Lepisosteus oculatus: one gene and its partner. The protein of the gene in region 2 purifies or fractionates together with the protein of the main gene of each other region. This does not show direct contact. Links are inferred from orthologs where the notes say so. Each region holds a gene or a part of one and is shown on either strand. Other genes may lie near its edges.

Region 1 (6,977 bases), on a different chromosome or scaffold from region 2:
AAATGGAGAATCCCTGCTCCAAGCGCTCCAGCGCGATCTCCCTGGAGTTCTTGGCCTTCAGGCGCTTCAGGATCCTGGCGGGCAGGAACACAGCACTGCTGAGCAGGAGCAAACCTGCTGGTCACAGACGGGACTCTTGCTTTCCCCACAGGGCTGCAGTCGGCTGGACTGGAGTGGCGGGTGAAAGGGACAACCCAGCGCTACAGATTCAGGCCCACAAAGGGAAATCACATGCTGCCGCACGAATTCTCAGTGTGCTTTACACTGCACTGTAGGAGAGATTTCAGCTCAGGTTTTTCCAAAATCTTAAAATGAACATAAAGTCTCATGAGTATGTCTGAAATGTTATTCCGTAAAGTTGAAAACATTTGTTCGAGTAGACAACGGCGGCTTTCTTCTGGGGTTGTCCCAGACACCCCACATTTTGTGTGCGAGCCTGGCTCTCCGAGGTGTCACCTCAGCCAGCTGGGGGTGTATTTGACAAGCGGCCGCCCTCTGACTCTGTAACAGTAGACTGGGTGGCAAAAGAGTCACAGCACAACCGTCACGCCTCACCTGTTCCTGTGTTGAAGAGCGATTAAATATTCATCGTGTTTTTCTTCAATATCCGAGGCAGCGTGCTTCCCCGCTTCGATTCCATGCCAGCTCTTCACAAACACATCGAATGAAAGCAAAACAGTGCTGATTACTGCATGGCTCGGCCTTTCCTACACACATTTTCAAAAGCAAGAACGTGCCATCGCAGGACACACAACAGGGGAATCAGGCAAGCTCGGCGCATGGCAGGGAACGTAAGTACTGGGTAAAATGCAAAAGTTCTCCAAGAAGCATATTCTTAGAAACTGACAATCAGAAAAGAACAGATAAACTGCTCTCCATTTGAGTCTGCTGGAGCGTGTTTGAATATTGAAAAGCGGTGTATTTGGAAAAATTCCAGCAGCCAGTTTTACGCATTTTATGCGGACTTCACTGTTGTACGTGGAAAACCTGCAGGACAGGAAGATACTGCTTTCAACCGCCAGGAGAGTCATGCAAACACCCTGCAGTCTCGACCAGCAGAGGACTGAACTGCTGACCTCACAGATGAGAAACAAGGGGAATGCTACACCTGGCAGAAGGGACAATACTCTCTGACGCTGAGCAGGAGCTCAATGGCTAGAATGTGCAATTTAATGCCACGGAACTGTTGAAGAATGTGTTCAAATTTACACTGAAGCAACCGTTTTGCTTAGTGGGGTATAAAGCACACGTATGGGGTGAAGCAAGACCTTCTAAACAAATGAAAAAGACGGCAAATATTTCCCCCCCTCGGAGCTTAGCCCAGCTCAGCCCAGGAAAGGACCAGAACATCACACAGGACAAACAGGAGAAGAGAGACCCCCTTACTCAATCCCTGACAGGCAACTACAGCATCTGCAAGACAGAGGAGCAGGGAAGGAGAGAGGAGAGGGAACATGAAGAGAGGCACATCAGATAGCACGCAGCAGAAAACAGAGCAAGCAAGAAAAATGACAAGACAGCCAGACACGTAGTATTCATGCGTGTGTCACCAGCAGAGACCACCCTCTCCCCGGCTGTACATCCTGGAGCCCATACTTGGGCCTAGCTCGCTGGACCAGTGTCCAGTCGGAGGACAGTCATTCCACGCCACCATACCCTTCTCCGACGAGATGCGACCCCAGCTATAATTTGTGATCGACTGAAATCAATACCCCGTGCGCAGCGATAAGCATCAGTAGTCGCATAATCGACCCCCCCATCGCCACCCCCCATTATTTTAACAGCGCTGCTATTTGAGTGGAGCAAGCCCACCTCGACTCACGCTGAAGTATTCGCTGTCAAAAAAAAACACACAAGAAATTACCTCTTCCATCTCCGCCGGGCTGGCGCCGCCCCTGTCGAATTTGCCTGGATTCGTTTAAAACATCAGACAGAGAAAGAAACATTTTTAAACGCATGACTCTGTAAGTGACCAGACAAGAAAAAAAAATCAACATGTAAAACGCAATCTGCGGGTCTGCAAGGCGTCGGTGTTGCCGCCCTCTCCCTCTGCGGCCCCGCCCGGGCGGACGGACACCTCACCCGCAGTGAAAGACAACTCCACCCCGCGGCTACAGCCAGGGCCTACACCAATCTGTGTAGCGACAACGAAAACTGTAGTCTAAGGAAACAAACTACTTTAACACATAGAGCCGTGTGGACGATTAAGACGGAAGTGAACTTTAAAATACAGTTTTTGACCTGCGTTTTTGTTTCTTTAAAACGTTAGCTACACATAGCTTATAAACACACCACACACGCTCAGGTGTCTGCATTCGTGCTCGGATCGCATTTCTCGCAGAAACGAGAAAGATCGAGCAGAAATCGGCGTGTCCAAATGTAAAAGATCAAACTTACAGTCCATGTCATCGCCTTGACGAGGTGATAACAGACTCCAAGTGTGTTTTCAATGGGGACGCGTTCACAGCCCCGTCCGCGTTGTCATGCTGGTAACCAAGAGAGCCGCTAGCCAATCGCCACTCCGCCCCGCCCCCTGGCAATGGCGCGCTGACCAATGAGTCTGCAGGGAGACCCGGGATTCGCCACGCCCCCTTGGTGAAGACCGCTGGCTGACGTCACTGAGATGGGACCCACAACACTTCACCTTTACAGCAAATTATAAGGCCATGTGCGCTGGCAGGGAATTAAAAATCAGCAGCAGTATTTTAAATCTGGAGCCGACGGTGGATCGGGCTCTGTCTTAATTACTTTTGAAGGTTATGTGTTCAAATTCGGATCTTCACTTCCCAGCTGCATGTTGGAAACATGCAGAATCCAATTAAGAAAACAAAACTTTGCTTGCCGTTTCAATACTGGCCGCCAGAGGGCAGTACAGACAGTACATTAACTTCCGTTACAGTGTGTGTTGACATGTTACTCTTGAAGTTATCCTTTGCTTCAGCTGTTTTCCATAGGCATGTCACAGGTGATGGTCCAACTTGGCACCTGGACCCTTGGCCATTAATAATCCATAATTATTTAAGTGGTCCTCAGCTCCTGGGTTAATTGAGCAATTAAGGTCTTGGAAAGTTTAATGTCCTATAATGGCATAAAATTTAAATCCAAGATCCTTCTACTGCGTAAACCACAACACTGGGGTGCCAACACTGGTCCTGGGGAGCCCCACACCAGCAGGTTTTGTAGGTCACTGTTAAATCACCCATTTCCAATTTCCCTTGAACAATGACACAGATTTATTCCAGTGCCCATGTATACCAAGCAGAGTTTGGGATGCTTTACAGAGCAAAAACAAAAACACAAAAAAGAGGAAAAGAAGTATTATAAAAAGAACTAAAGAAAGATAAGAGATGAAAAAACATCTATCAATTCTAAAGTGATCAATTAAACAGGTGATTTGTAATAGAGATAATTCAATACTAAAATCTAAGAACTCACTAATCCTCAAGTACTAGATTTCCTGAGTCATCAATAACCCACAGGTGTGGTGAATCTTTAAAATCAGGTGCCCTAGGAGGAGGAGGAACCGGATTGGGGGCTCCCCTCGATCAGATCTCTTCTCCAGAGGATGACCCCCCCGAATATCGGCAACTGCGCAGCACAACAGGGGCTGTTGAACACCAAGCCTACTTGCAGAAAAACAGACCAGACAGCTCAAGAACAGGTGGCCATTCAGAGCATTTAGCTCATTTGCTTGCTAGATAGTTGATTGATCCTAGAATCTCCTCCAGTGAGTCTTGTGAAAAACGGATATTTCTAGAATATTTATACTCAAGATAAAAAAAAACTCAAAATAGATTTATTACATTACCATGTACTAAAAAAAGAATTTCCACTAAGACTGTATGTCTTTAAGTGGACAGCTCTGGTCATTTTACTGTTGGAAAGCATTTTTACTGCACTTTTAAGTTATTTAACAGCATGAGACTTAATGAAAATTATACAACTGTGGAAGCTGTTTTTAGATCCTATTTTAAAGGCTTATCATATGATGGCACACGTGAAACTGACAGATCTGTGTTGCCTTTTTTTGTTGGCAATTTTGTGCAAAACAACATGCGTTGAAGCTGAGGGTATCAGCACTGACATCCTCTTACAGTTTGTCAAAATACCAATCCATTTACTCTCACGATAATCCAGGAATTTGTCTTGCATGATCTAGGGATACCAGGAAACAGAATTTGTGGGGTTACATAACATCCAAAAGCAGAATAAAGAGGCTTTAAGGTGGTCCCACCTCTCCTGTGCTTCGTCCCTCAGCAGCTAGTGTCCCTGCCCTTCACCAAAGCCAGCCTCCTTGGGCTACACTGATGGCATTTCAGTTTTTGATACTGGCTAATTTATTTTTCTGCAAATACACTCTTACAAACGCTGTGCAAGTCAAGGGGAAAGTACCGTAGAGCCTCTGAAGCCTCCTTCGGTGTTTAATGAAGCTGCTGAGAGGACCTGTACCGATTCTTCAGCGCTGTGCAGGAGCAAATGGAAACAAACCGTTAGTCAAGGTTACACCCATCCAGGTTATCAAAGCGGATTGGAGAACTCTTCATTTAAACCTTGGTTTATTACTTGACATCTAACAAACATGACCTAACCTCCCAGTTCAGCCATTTTCACACTCTTCCACCCAAACGCAAGGACACGGTGTCACCGGGTGTGCTGAACTGGAGCGCTCACCTGGACTAGCGCCAGTGACGTGTACCGCGGCGCTTGTTCCCCTTCATTTCTCAGAAGGAAGAAAAACAACCTCCTGCAGGTGTGTCCCCGCGGCCCGCTCAACCGGCACCAGACAGCTGCAGCGCAGGAGATGGGCAGGCGCAGCAGTAAACAAGTGTGGGGCTCACACACCTGCCCTGATCTCTCCAGAGTGCCACAGCCACTCATTCCAGGAGTGCACACTGTGCTGTTAATGACTGCTGCAAATGGGCATTGGCCTCCAGATGATTTAAAACCAAACTGCACTCGCCTTCTGACAGCCGCCCCCCTATATATAGGCCATCCCTCTCCGGTGCGGATGTGTTTTTCTGTTGGCTTGCTGCCCTCCGGTCTGTCAGTTGTCACGTGCCGAAGCACCGCGGCGTTCCTGCTGTGCGCTGGGTAATTCCCCACCGAGCGCTCCCCTGGGGCCCTGGAGCTGAGCACCGCTGAACACACGCAGGCTCCCCGGGGGACCATACGGAGCGAGGGGCCTCTGTTCGCAGCCCCCTTCGCTGGTTCTTCCTGTGCGGCCACACGTGAGGGACGTGCAGGGGAGAGTGACCACCCCTCCAAGCTGCCCACCCGGACTGTCCAGGCGCACTCTGCAGGCAGCTAGGACAACGGGCTCCCCCCCGCTGGCAAGGGGCGCCCCCACACTGACCGTACCGCCACCCTGCAGGCCAGGGAAGTCGGGGCACCAACACAGCTCTGGCCAAGTGTACTTGCAGCAGTGCTGGCTGGGCCCATCCTCTCAGTGCACTTGGGTTCTCCTGGCTGTTCAGGAGGTGCTGAAGAGGGCCAGCTGGCCATGAAGATCACACACGGTCCGTACAGTGGGCACGAGTACTGGTACTGTGTGTACAGTACAGTCATCTCATGAAAACACAGGCAGTCAGCCATCACCCCTCCGCACTTGCTGAACACCCGCTCACCCCCAGCACACTGCGGCCGGGCTGTCCTTGTGAACCACTTCCTCACACTGGGTCCCCACAAGCTCAGAGGAGCCCAGATATCACCACCCCGCGGCACAAGGTCCAGCACTCAGCTTGGCCCGATCCGGACAAAAAAAGGGACATGCATCCCTAGAACAACCGTCCCGCCACGAGGGCGGTGCCCAGCCTGAAGCCCACTCCCCGGGATTTGCCAGGAAGTCTGGGGACCCCCCTTCCCAGCTCACAGCACGGCAGGTTTAAAAAAAACACGGGGGGCGTGGACAGGCCCGGTGGCGTTTCAGGGTCCAGTTTTTAATTATGCAAGGAACGGCTTTTAAATGATTAACACTGTTTTATTTTTTTTTAATATAAACCACTGCATTTTTTTTTATATTAAAAAAAAAAAGAAACAAAACCCAAAAAACAGAAGACGGGAGCCGCTGTGGCGGGTTGTAAACGGCACTATACCACCAGGTACAGGACTGCCCCCCCCCGCCCCCCCGAAAACACACGAGCTCTGGCACTGTAGTGACCGGAATACCAAACCCTTTCCAGAACGGACACAGGAGGAACAGGACGGGCGAGAGCGGAGGGGAGCCAGGAGGCTGGGCGGTCCGTTGGTCAGTCTGGGCCGGCGAGAGGGGTCTGAGTGACCCGGGAGGGAGAGACGGAGGAGCCAGTGTGGGGGTGGGGGGGGGGATTGGGGGCTGGGGGCGGCGCGTGTCCGATTTTTTTTTTTTAAAACCAAACCCATTAAAAAAAAGAAATTAAATTAATTTTTTAAAAAAAGTGCCTGGGGGGAAAAAAACCATACAGTATTTTTGGAGCCCTTTCGAAAAACACAAGGCATACGCAGGTGCTGGAGAGATTAAAACCCCACCCCTGTCCCTCGAAAATAAAAGAGAGGAAAAAAAAAACAATCATAATAATAATAATAATAATAATAATAATAATAATAACAACAACAACAATAATAATAATAGGAACAATAACGTTAATCTTCATCGGAGTTTTCAGAGATCCAGAGTTTACTAGGCCCCTCTCCCCTCTCCTGCAGGCGGACGGGCTCAGTCGGCGCCCCCCCCCTCGCTCCCCCTGTCCAGCTGCTCCAGCGCCGCTGCGCTCCTCCTCTCCTCCTTCCTCCTCCTCTCCATCTCCCACTCCACGAAGGTGTCGAAGAGGCTGGGCCAGGCCTCGTCCTCGCTGTAGTTGCCGAGGTCGGGCCCGATCACCTGAGTAAAGTTGAGGAACATGTTCCACGTGTCCCGGGAGATGCCCTTCACGCCCGACGGGTTCTCCGTCAGGAAGTCCAGCCAGCGCTCCAGGATGCAGGGCGTGTTCTGGGTGAAGACC
Region 2 (7,580 bases):
AATGTTACCGATATCTGCTTTATGACAGACAGAGAGACGTTAACATGAAAAAGTACAAAGTCGGTAGTCCTTCATTTATAGGTAGAAAAACTAAAATCCAAGGCTGAGTGAGAAAAAACTATTGGGTTTGTCATGTTACAGCTGCCCTCGCTAAGCTTCCACTGAGAGATACAGTCTTCAACGGTTAGGTTTGCTGGAAAGAGAATCCTGCTTGGTAATTATTTAAGGGCACTTGTTTTTAATATCTCCTTTACACAGAAATGGATTTCAAAAGTCAACTAATTGAGTTTGAGCTGGCGCTGCATTTTGCATTAATTGTGGACTAAAACATTATGATGAAGTAGGCATATCATGTGGTACTTCTGATGTAATTTCACTTAGCAGATGTGCAGTAGGCTGACTTTTAAAGACATTATCATTGCATTTTGCTAACGCTTCTATCCAAGGTGAGTTACTTGTGAGTAACTTTTAAATTAATAAACGGTAAACATTGAACATTGTGAAAAAATCCAATATGATATTATCAAAGCGAAAATTAACATTATTCACGGTATAATAATACCATTGTGAGGTGAACAAAAGCCTGTAAATATACAGTCAACAGATATTTTTAAATCCTTACATACAGTGCCTTACAAAAGTATTCACTCCCTTCTCATGACATCACATTTTGTTGAATTACAACTGATGAAAATATGGAGTTTTCAAAACCACTCATGGATAACGTTCTTAGGAGAAGGGGATTAAAATCGATTCAAAGACAATGAGCGAGGTAAAGTCGATCATTAAGAAGTGACAGCAAATACTGCAAGGAAAAATCAAAAACTAGAAAATGTTGATAACATACAGTAAGTACTTCCCTCCTCCCTCAATAGTTGCTAAAAGCTCCTTTGGTAGCAATTACAACTCTGTTAGGATTAGTCTATTAACACTGCACGCTGGGATGGTGTAGCTGTTGCCAGTTCTCCTTTGCAAACTCACTCAAGCTCTGTCAAGTAGGTTGATGGACAATAATTTTCAAGTCTTGCCACAGATTGGATTCTGTTGGATTCAAGTCAGGGCATTAACTGGGCCCTTAATCCTTGTGTGTGTGTTCAGTTTGACCATCCAAGTTTTGATTATAAATGTTCACTTTAAAAAAGGATTAGACATCATTTGTAATTTTATGAATTGGGACATCATTGCAGGGGAGAGAATACTCTTGCAGGGTACGTTATGTGAAATTAAGCATCCTTAGAAACGGCAAGACCCTTACAAGGAATTAGTGACATAAATTCTAACATGAGAGTTTAATGTACATTAGCTCAGACTGCAAAAACCCTGAAAGAACACAGCCAGCAGGTATTTTAATCTGGATTATTGTTCTTTTACCATCTGATCCTCATTAGCATTAGTGCCAGCAAAACAGAAAAAAACCCTGTTCGCAGCATGTTCTACTGTACATTCATGCAAAATACCAAAAAAAAATCTTAATAGCATGTTCAGGCATGTATCTTGACATTTGCATGGAAAGGTTCCTGTGGATAACTAGAGTTATCCTATCATCATCTGAAAGTAGGCATGCTTGGTGCATATCCTTCTAAGAAAGCTGCTTTTTAAAGGTGAAGATCAATCTGTTGCTCATTTGAGGAGTTTCTTTGAAGAGTATACCACCACAGCGTACTGCAGACAGGTGAATGTCAACAGCATTGACCCTGAAAAGGAAAAGTTCCTGAGACAAATAAAAGTTACATACAGAAGTAACAACTTCTACAGTAGGGTGAAGAACACCCCACACAGAATTATCAAGCGCACAGGGCACAAAACCACGCACACAGACAAATGGGCACAGAGACAGGGCCTGTCCGCATTGCTACACAGTGAGTGTGACCACGAACAGATTGCTTCCTAGCAGTGCACTAAGCTTTTGTGAAACGCAATCTGCCGGGACAGGATTTAAGAAGAATTAGAATTAAGGATGAGCAGAGAGGCTAATGACGTACATAGAGAATCTACCTAGAGAATCCCAAGGTCACTGCAATCATATAGCGAATTCTGTAAGTGGGCCAGTGTACGTTTCATGCTGCAAAGGTGCTTGTCCCAGTGTCTCCTAGTCTTGATAGTCTTCGTGGGTCAGTCGTTCATTCGTTCAAGACAGTAATTGAATTAAGAAATGGAATTAAAAATGTTTGTTTTGTTTTTTTAAAAGAAAACCTCTTGGCTTCTATTATTGACAAGTGATCGCGAAAATCACAACAGAAGCAAAACAGGCTGCAATGAAGCTGAAGGCTGCACTTCACACTGGAAAATAAAAACTGTCACATTCTCAGTGTTGTTTACGTTTAATTGTACATTTAGAATAAAATAAAACCTCTCACATTAGTTAACCAGTTTCTGCTACCCAACCTGCCATCCTAGACTGTATGAGCTAGTATGAATTTGTGAAGCAGAGACGCTGGGACACAACTTCAAAAGGCGTGTTTCAGCCCTGAAAGGATGGGTGAGACAACACAGCTATGAATGGAGCCCCAGATATCTACGAAACAATGAGACACACGTCAGACACTGAACACAGTAATACACCGAACATATGCCAGACAGGAAGGCACTGAACACACCCAACACAGGCACTGAACACAGTAAGAATATATAATTATATATATAGAGAGAGAGTATATTTTATAATAACACGGGCTGTCTGAACAGAGATGCCCAGCAGCTACACTATACCACATTACAGGTGAAAGCAGGCTAAGGAAAAGAGTTGCAATGCAACGGCTGGCAGCCTGCCCAATCCTTCTAAGTAGATCCTTTAATGTATAAAGGGTAAACGGCTGCACATATTTTGCCTTTCCTGCTCTTTCGGACTCACCGTGCGCCCGGTTCTGGCTCCCAGTGCCTGTGCAGCCAGGCAGCGGCGACGTTTGTTGTGATCGCGCGGCTGCTCCTCGCCCCGTGCCTGTCTGTGACACTGCCTTCTCCTTGGCAACGGGGGACTCCGCACACACGAGCGCCTGGGGTCAGGGCTGGCGCGGTGCCTTGTGGGATTTGAGGTCACTGCAGGCGAAGTGACCCGGAAGGCGTTGGTGTGTGTGTGTGTATGCGTATGCTAACCTGCTGCTGCATGGATGATGCTGTACAAGTGAAAATGATTAGATCTCTTATTCATTGAAGGATGAAGATGGCAGTGTATATGTGACACTATACACACTCTGAATATGATTTGGGCGTTCTGAAAACGCTGAAAGCCGATATGATTATCAACGAGGTGGTGCTTTTCCGCCGAGAGAATATGCACAGAGCGAACTGTAAAAATAGTCAAACCATATGACGGTTTTAACGTAATTTCATGGTTAGTTTTTCGGAAACCATCACACCTGAAGAAGGCTCCACGGCCGAAACGTTGTGTTTTCTTTCTTCTCTTTTCAGCATGGAATAAACCAATGACTTGTTCCTTTAACTATTATTGGCCCATTGTGCATTAGGTCATCGTTAGAGAGAAGGAACCTGTGGATTTCTTCTGCGTACATAATGAAATAGTCACTGAGTGTTCTTATTGGGGGAGATTTCCCATACTTGTGGAAATATATTACCAGCAGAGGGAGCAACTACATTAGCAATAGCTCAGAACTTCACATGCATGAGCAAATGGAACATACCTAAAAAGCAGATAAACACAGCCTCTGCAATGTCTGTATGGTTCATACAAAGGCATACTAGTGTATCTATAGAGTACTTATACTTTCTAATTCTGTCAGCAGTCTAAGCATTTTATATTTTGGTATGAAATTAAGACGAGTAAAGGTCATCCATTTTCATATAATACACAATGTGTTTAATGTTATTATATAATTATAATTGGTTTCACGTAGAACTGTTCATGCTAAAGGATCACAAGTGGGTTTATAATAAAGGAGGTGACCCAGTTCATCCACTGCTGAAACCGCACTGCACAGCAGGTCATGTGAAGAAGTCAGAAACTGCTGGAGCTGATTCAAGGGGCCAGGCTGTGCAAGCTCAGAGTGGGCTTTAGCTAGGACACCAGGGTTAGCATCCTTACTCTTATGAGCTGTGCCATGGGATCTGTAATGACCACATAGTGAGGACCTCAACTTAAAGCCTCATCTGTACCTCCAAAAGCATGGTGTCCCCAGTTCACACTGCAGCATTGTTGGGTTGGAAATTGTGGTTGAGAGGGAAGAGCCCCATCTATTGGTCAACCAGGCCCACACCACTGTAGCAGTAACCCGGGTTTCCGTATACGTCTGCTCTCCAACTATTGACCAGGCCCAGACTTGCTTAGCTTTAGAAATCTGACAAAATCAGGTCAGAAGATGGCAACGCTGCTGTAAATCGACATATAATAAACATTCCTGCACACAAGCCCATCCCTAAAGAAACCTCTGTTGAAGGTAATCGCACCTCAGCCATCTTATCTGAAAACATCTTGTGCGAGACTTACGTTTCGGCTGTTTCACCGTTATTTGTATAGCATTTTTTTTTGAGTCAGGGCTGGCAAAATTGTTGCTCCAGATGTGTAGGGTGGGGACTGGTGAATGAGTGAGGTGGGGAGAGGGGTATATTTGACTGTATGTTGTCGGGATTATTTAATAGGTGAGGTGGGGGAGTGGAGTAGACTTGGCTGTATGTGGTCAGGATTTGTGAATGAGAGGAATAGGGAGTGATGCATTTGTCTCGTGGCTCATTCGGGAAAGGTGTTGCTCTCTCACAGCTCTCCGTTTGCTCTGCCCGTTACAATCTTAGTTTTATCTCCCAAATACCACTTTTATCTCCCACATTTCCCTTTAACCTTCAGCTCAAATGCTTTGCCCAAGCACAAAATAAAAACACTGCCCTCGGGGAAGATGCCAGCAGAATTTCAGCCAATACTAACAACCACAACAGTAATAAAAATCTTTTAGGGAATGAAAGCAGATCAGAGCAAAGTCTAACCTAGCGCCTCTCTTTTTTTTTTTTTTTTTTTCCAGAGAGGGGATTGAGTTTCAAAACCTAACTGTCCTTGCAAGTTGCAGCCGTGATTAAGATTGATGAAACGTTGCGGGGAAACAAGCTCGAGCCTGATCTGTTCGAGAAGTCAAGCGAGCCTGGCCCTACCGGTTGCCAAACAGCTATTGTCTGCCAGCCAAGCACTCTCGTTGCCTCCTGTATTGTTTGCACAGGCCGTCTGACAGTGTTTTCATTAGCTGTCAGTTAGCGTGTTGTAAATGAGGTTTGAAGTTGTGCGGCTCGGCGTAGGTGATGAGCAGCCAGGTTCCTCTTCAACTGCCACGTGGTGACCTATCCTCACGAGCCCCTTTCTGCAACACTGAGTGATGCCACTTTAAAGAGGGGCCCGGGGGAACATGATGATCATTGGCAAAATGATGTTTCCAAAAACTCAGCCACAGTAAACTGCATGCTGCAGCCTACTGGAACACTGGAATAGTAAACACTGGAAATCCAGGGCATAGCTATGCAGAGGCTGCTTATTGTCAATGTGCCTCAGCAGTAATTTTCCAATGAAAGTCTTGGGTTTGCCTTTGAAACCCTACAGCCTTGGCAATGCCTTTGCCTGATAATGCGGTACAGTTCAGTAGCTCTTTATCTGAAGGTGATCATCAAAAGAAAGAGCAGACAATTGGATCACGTCAGCACTTCCAGGGAGTCAGAACTGCTGGCTGTGTTGTCCGAGACTTTCTTAACTGTTTTCATGTAACCCTATCCATCCGCGTAATCTAGCAAATGATTATTGTTAGGAAACCTTCTAATCCTCTAAAAAAGACAGTCATTTATTTTAGAATGTACAAGAATTACTGACCTCTTTTAAAACCGGTAGCTTAAAAAAATTGTTTTACAGCTATGAGCAGCTCATTGCATTTGAAATGAAAACAGGTTTTTCCGATGGTTGTGGGAAAGCTGCTGATTAAGAAAAGAAAGGTAAGCACTTTAAGAACAAGCCGTAGTCAGCATGAAGTGCTGTTTTTGAACTCATTCTGCATCTAAGCTCTTGTTTACAAAATGTGATTCATTGAAAAATATGCTTAGTAAAGTCTAAACTGGACCTGAGAGATAAACCCACAAACCTTTCCCAGGAAGCATTCTAACTGGCATTTTCCAGTTGGGACTTAACATCCCATTATCCTTAATTTAACTTCCTCCAGCTACCGTCACACTGTTTTGGTGTTTCTGAATTATTTATATGTAGGATATTTCCTGTAGTCCCCAACAACATGAAAAGCCCCATCAAAAGTCTGTCTTGTTTCACAAGTTGCAAGCACAATAATACAGTGAAAAGCATTCTTATATGGTAACCGAACATACGAGCTGCAACATTTATAGAGTGCTATTTAAAAACAAACTGTCTAATTGTTTTTATACAGTGAATACTAAAAGATGTCCTAGTTTATTAACGATGTGCAATTTGTGTTGGGGGAAAGCATTTTTTCAAGGTCAATCAAAAGAACAGCAAAGGGACAGCTCAAATGAAAAACGTCATTAACTGCCTGGGGACGATCGGTGCTGGCTATGACTTCAGTCAGAATGTTTATGTTTTCATTAAGTATCTAGAACCATAATATTTACTATTTAGGTTGCCTGAAAATCAATAGCCCGTCTTTGTTTCCAAATAATCTTTCATGTTGCTATATATCTGCAGTCTATTGCCATTCATAAAAATCCACTCATTCCACTCTTAGAAAGGCTAGACTGCTTCTCAGCAATTCAGAGCTGTGCTCTAGGACACTGTACTAGGGAACACGTTACAGACAATATCATGAACCCTGGATTCAGACAGCTCAGCAACGACATGTACAGTAATCAGATGCTCGATTTTGTGTTTTGATACATTTCTTATGGTATAGTTTTAGCAGTTCGTAAAATTAAATATTTTTGAACAACAATTGGTTAAAACGATTTACACTTTCTTTTCATATGTTTGACTGCCTGACTAACAATTCCTACTTGAAATAACTCAGGGAATGATTTGTATTGCCTTGTTGATGGACAGTAATACATGGTGCAATGATCTTCTGCTTCCACAGTGTTTGCTCCAGTAATAAGCTTTGAGGAGGCACAGTGTTTTCCAGATCTGTTTTAACTGCACTGCTCTGAACAATACAACCCATGTGTCATATGATCTTTCATCTGAAGCCTTTCAACATAAAAGAGATTAAATGTCAGGAAATGGAGTAACAGAAGTTAAACTAAACATTTCTTATGACTCTTTTGACTCTATTAAATTATAGCATTTTACCTGCCCATATTAACTTTCTTATTCATTCCTGTGGTTTCATGGAAAACTTTAGTAAGATACAGTACTGCTTAGTCATCTTATAGAAGAAACAACATACCTATATTAAGATTATCCGTCCATCCAGTTTCTAATGGCGTCTTCCAAATCAGGGTTGTGGAGGGACTGCAACCTATCCCAGCAAGCAACGCATGCAAGGTGGGCTACACCCTGGATTGGACGCCAGTCCATCAAAGGACACAGGCAGACACAAGCACACTCGCACCAGGGCCAGCTTTCCAAGAAACCAATTCCATCCTGAGCTTGTCCCTGGACAGTGCGAGGATACGCAAGTGAAAACGGGGAGAACACA

What was found.
Region 1: the proteins of mak (region 2) and katnip purify together in Homo sapiens (affinity purification with mass spectrometry; 3 studies listed by BioGRID and IntAct, with this or other methods). This does not show direct contact. The link is inferred for Lepisosteus oculatus from reciprocal best matches to the Homo sapiens genes MAK and KATNIP.

The regions. Positions count from the first base shown.
Region 1 is NC_090714.1:16,335,478-16,342,454, forward strand, and holds the start of katnip (katanin-interacting protein), read right to left. Parts: upstream 3,061-6,977; 5' UTR 2,405-3,060; coding exon 2,398-2,404; intron 2,379-2,397; exon of another isoform or gene 2,083-2,378; intron 1,909-2,082; coding exon 1,865-1,908; intron 648-1,864; coding exon 556-647; intron 75-555; coding exon 1-74. Other genes in the region: dcun1d3 (DCN1-like protein 3), read right to left, coding at 6,692-6,977. UniProt on the Homo sapiens protein: May influence the stability of microtubules (MT), possibly through interaction with the MT-severing katanin complex.
Region 2 is NC_090701.1:4,028,573-4,036,152, forward strand, and holds the start of mak (serine/threonine-protein kinase MAK), read right to left. Parts: upstream 3,017-7,580; 5' UTR 2,852-3,016; intron 1-2,851. UniProt on the Homo sapiens protein: Essential for the regulation of ciliary length and required for the long-term survival of photoreceptors. Phosphorylates FZR1 in a cell cycle-dependent manner. Plays a role in the transcriptional coactivation of AR.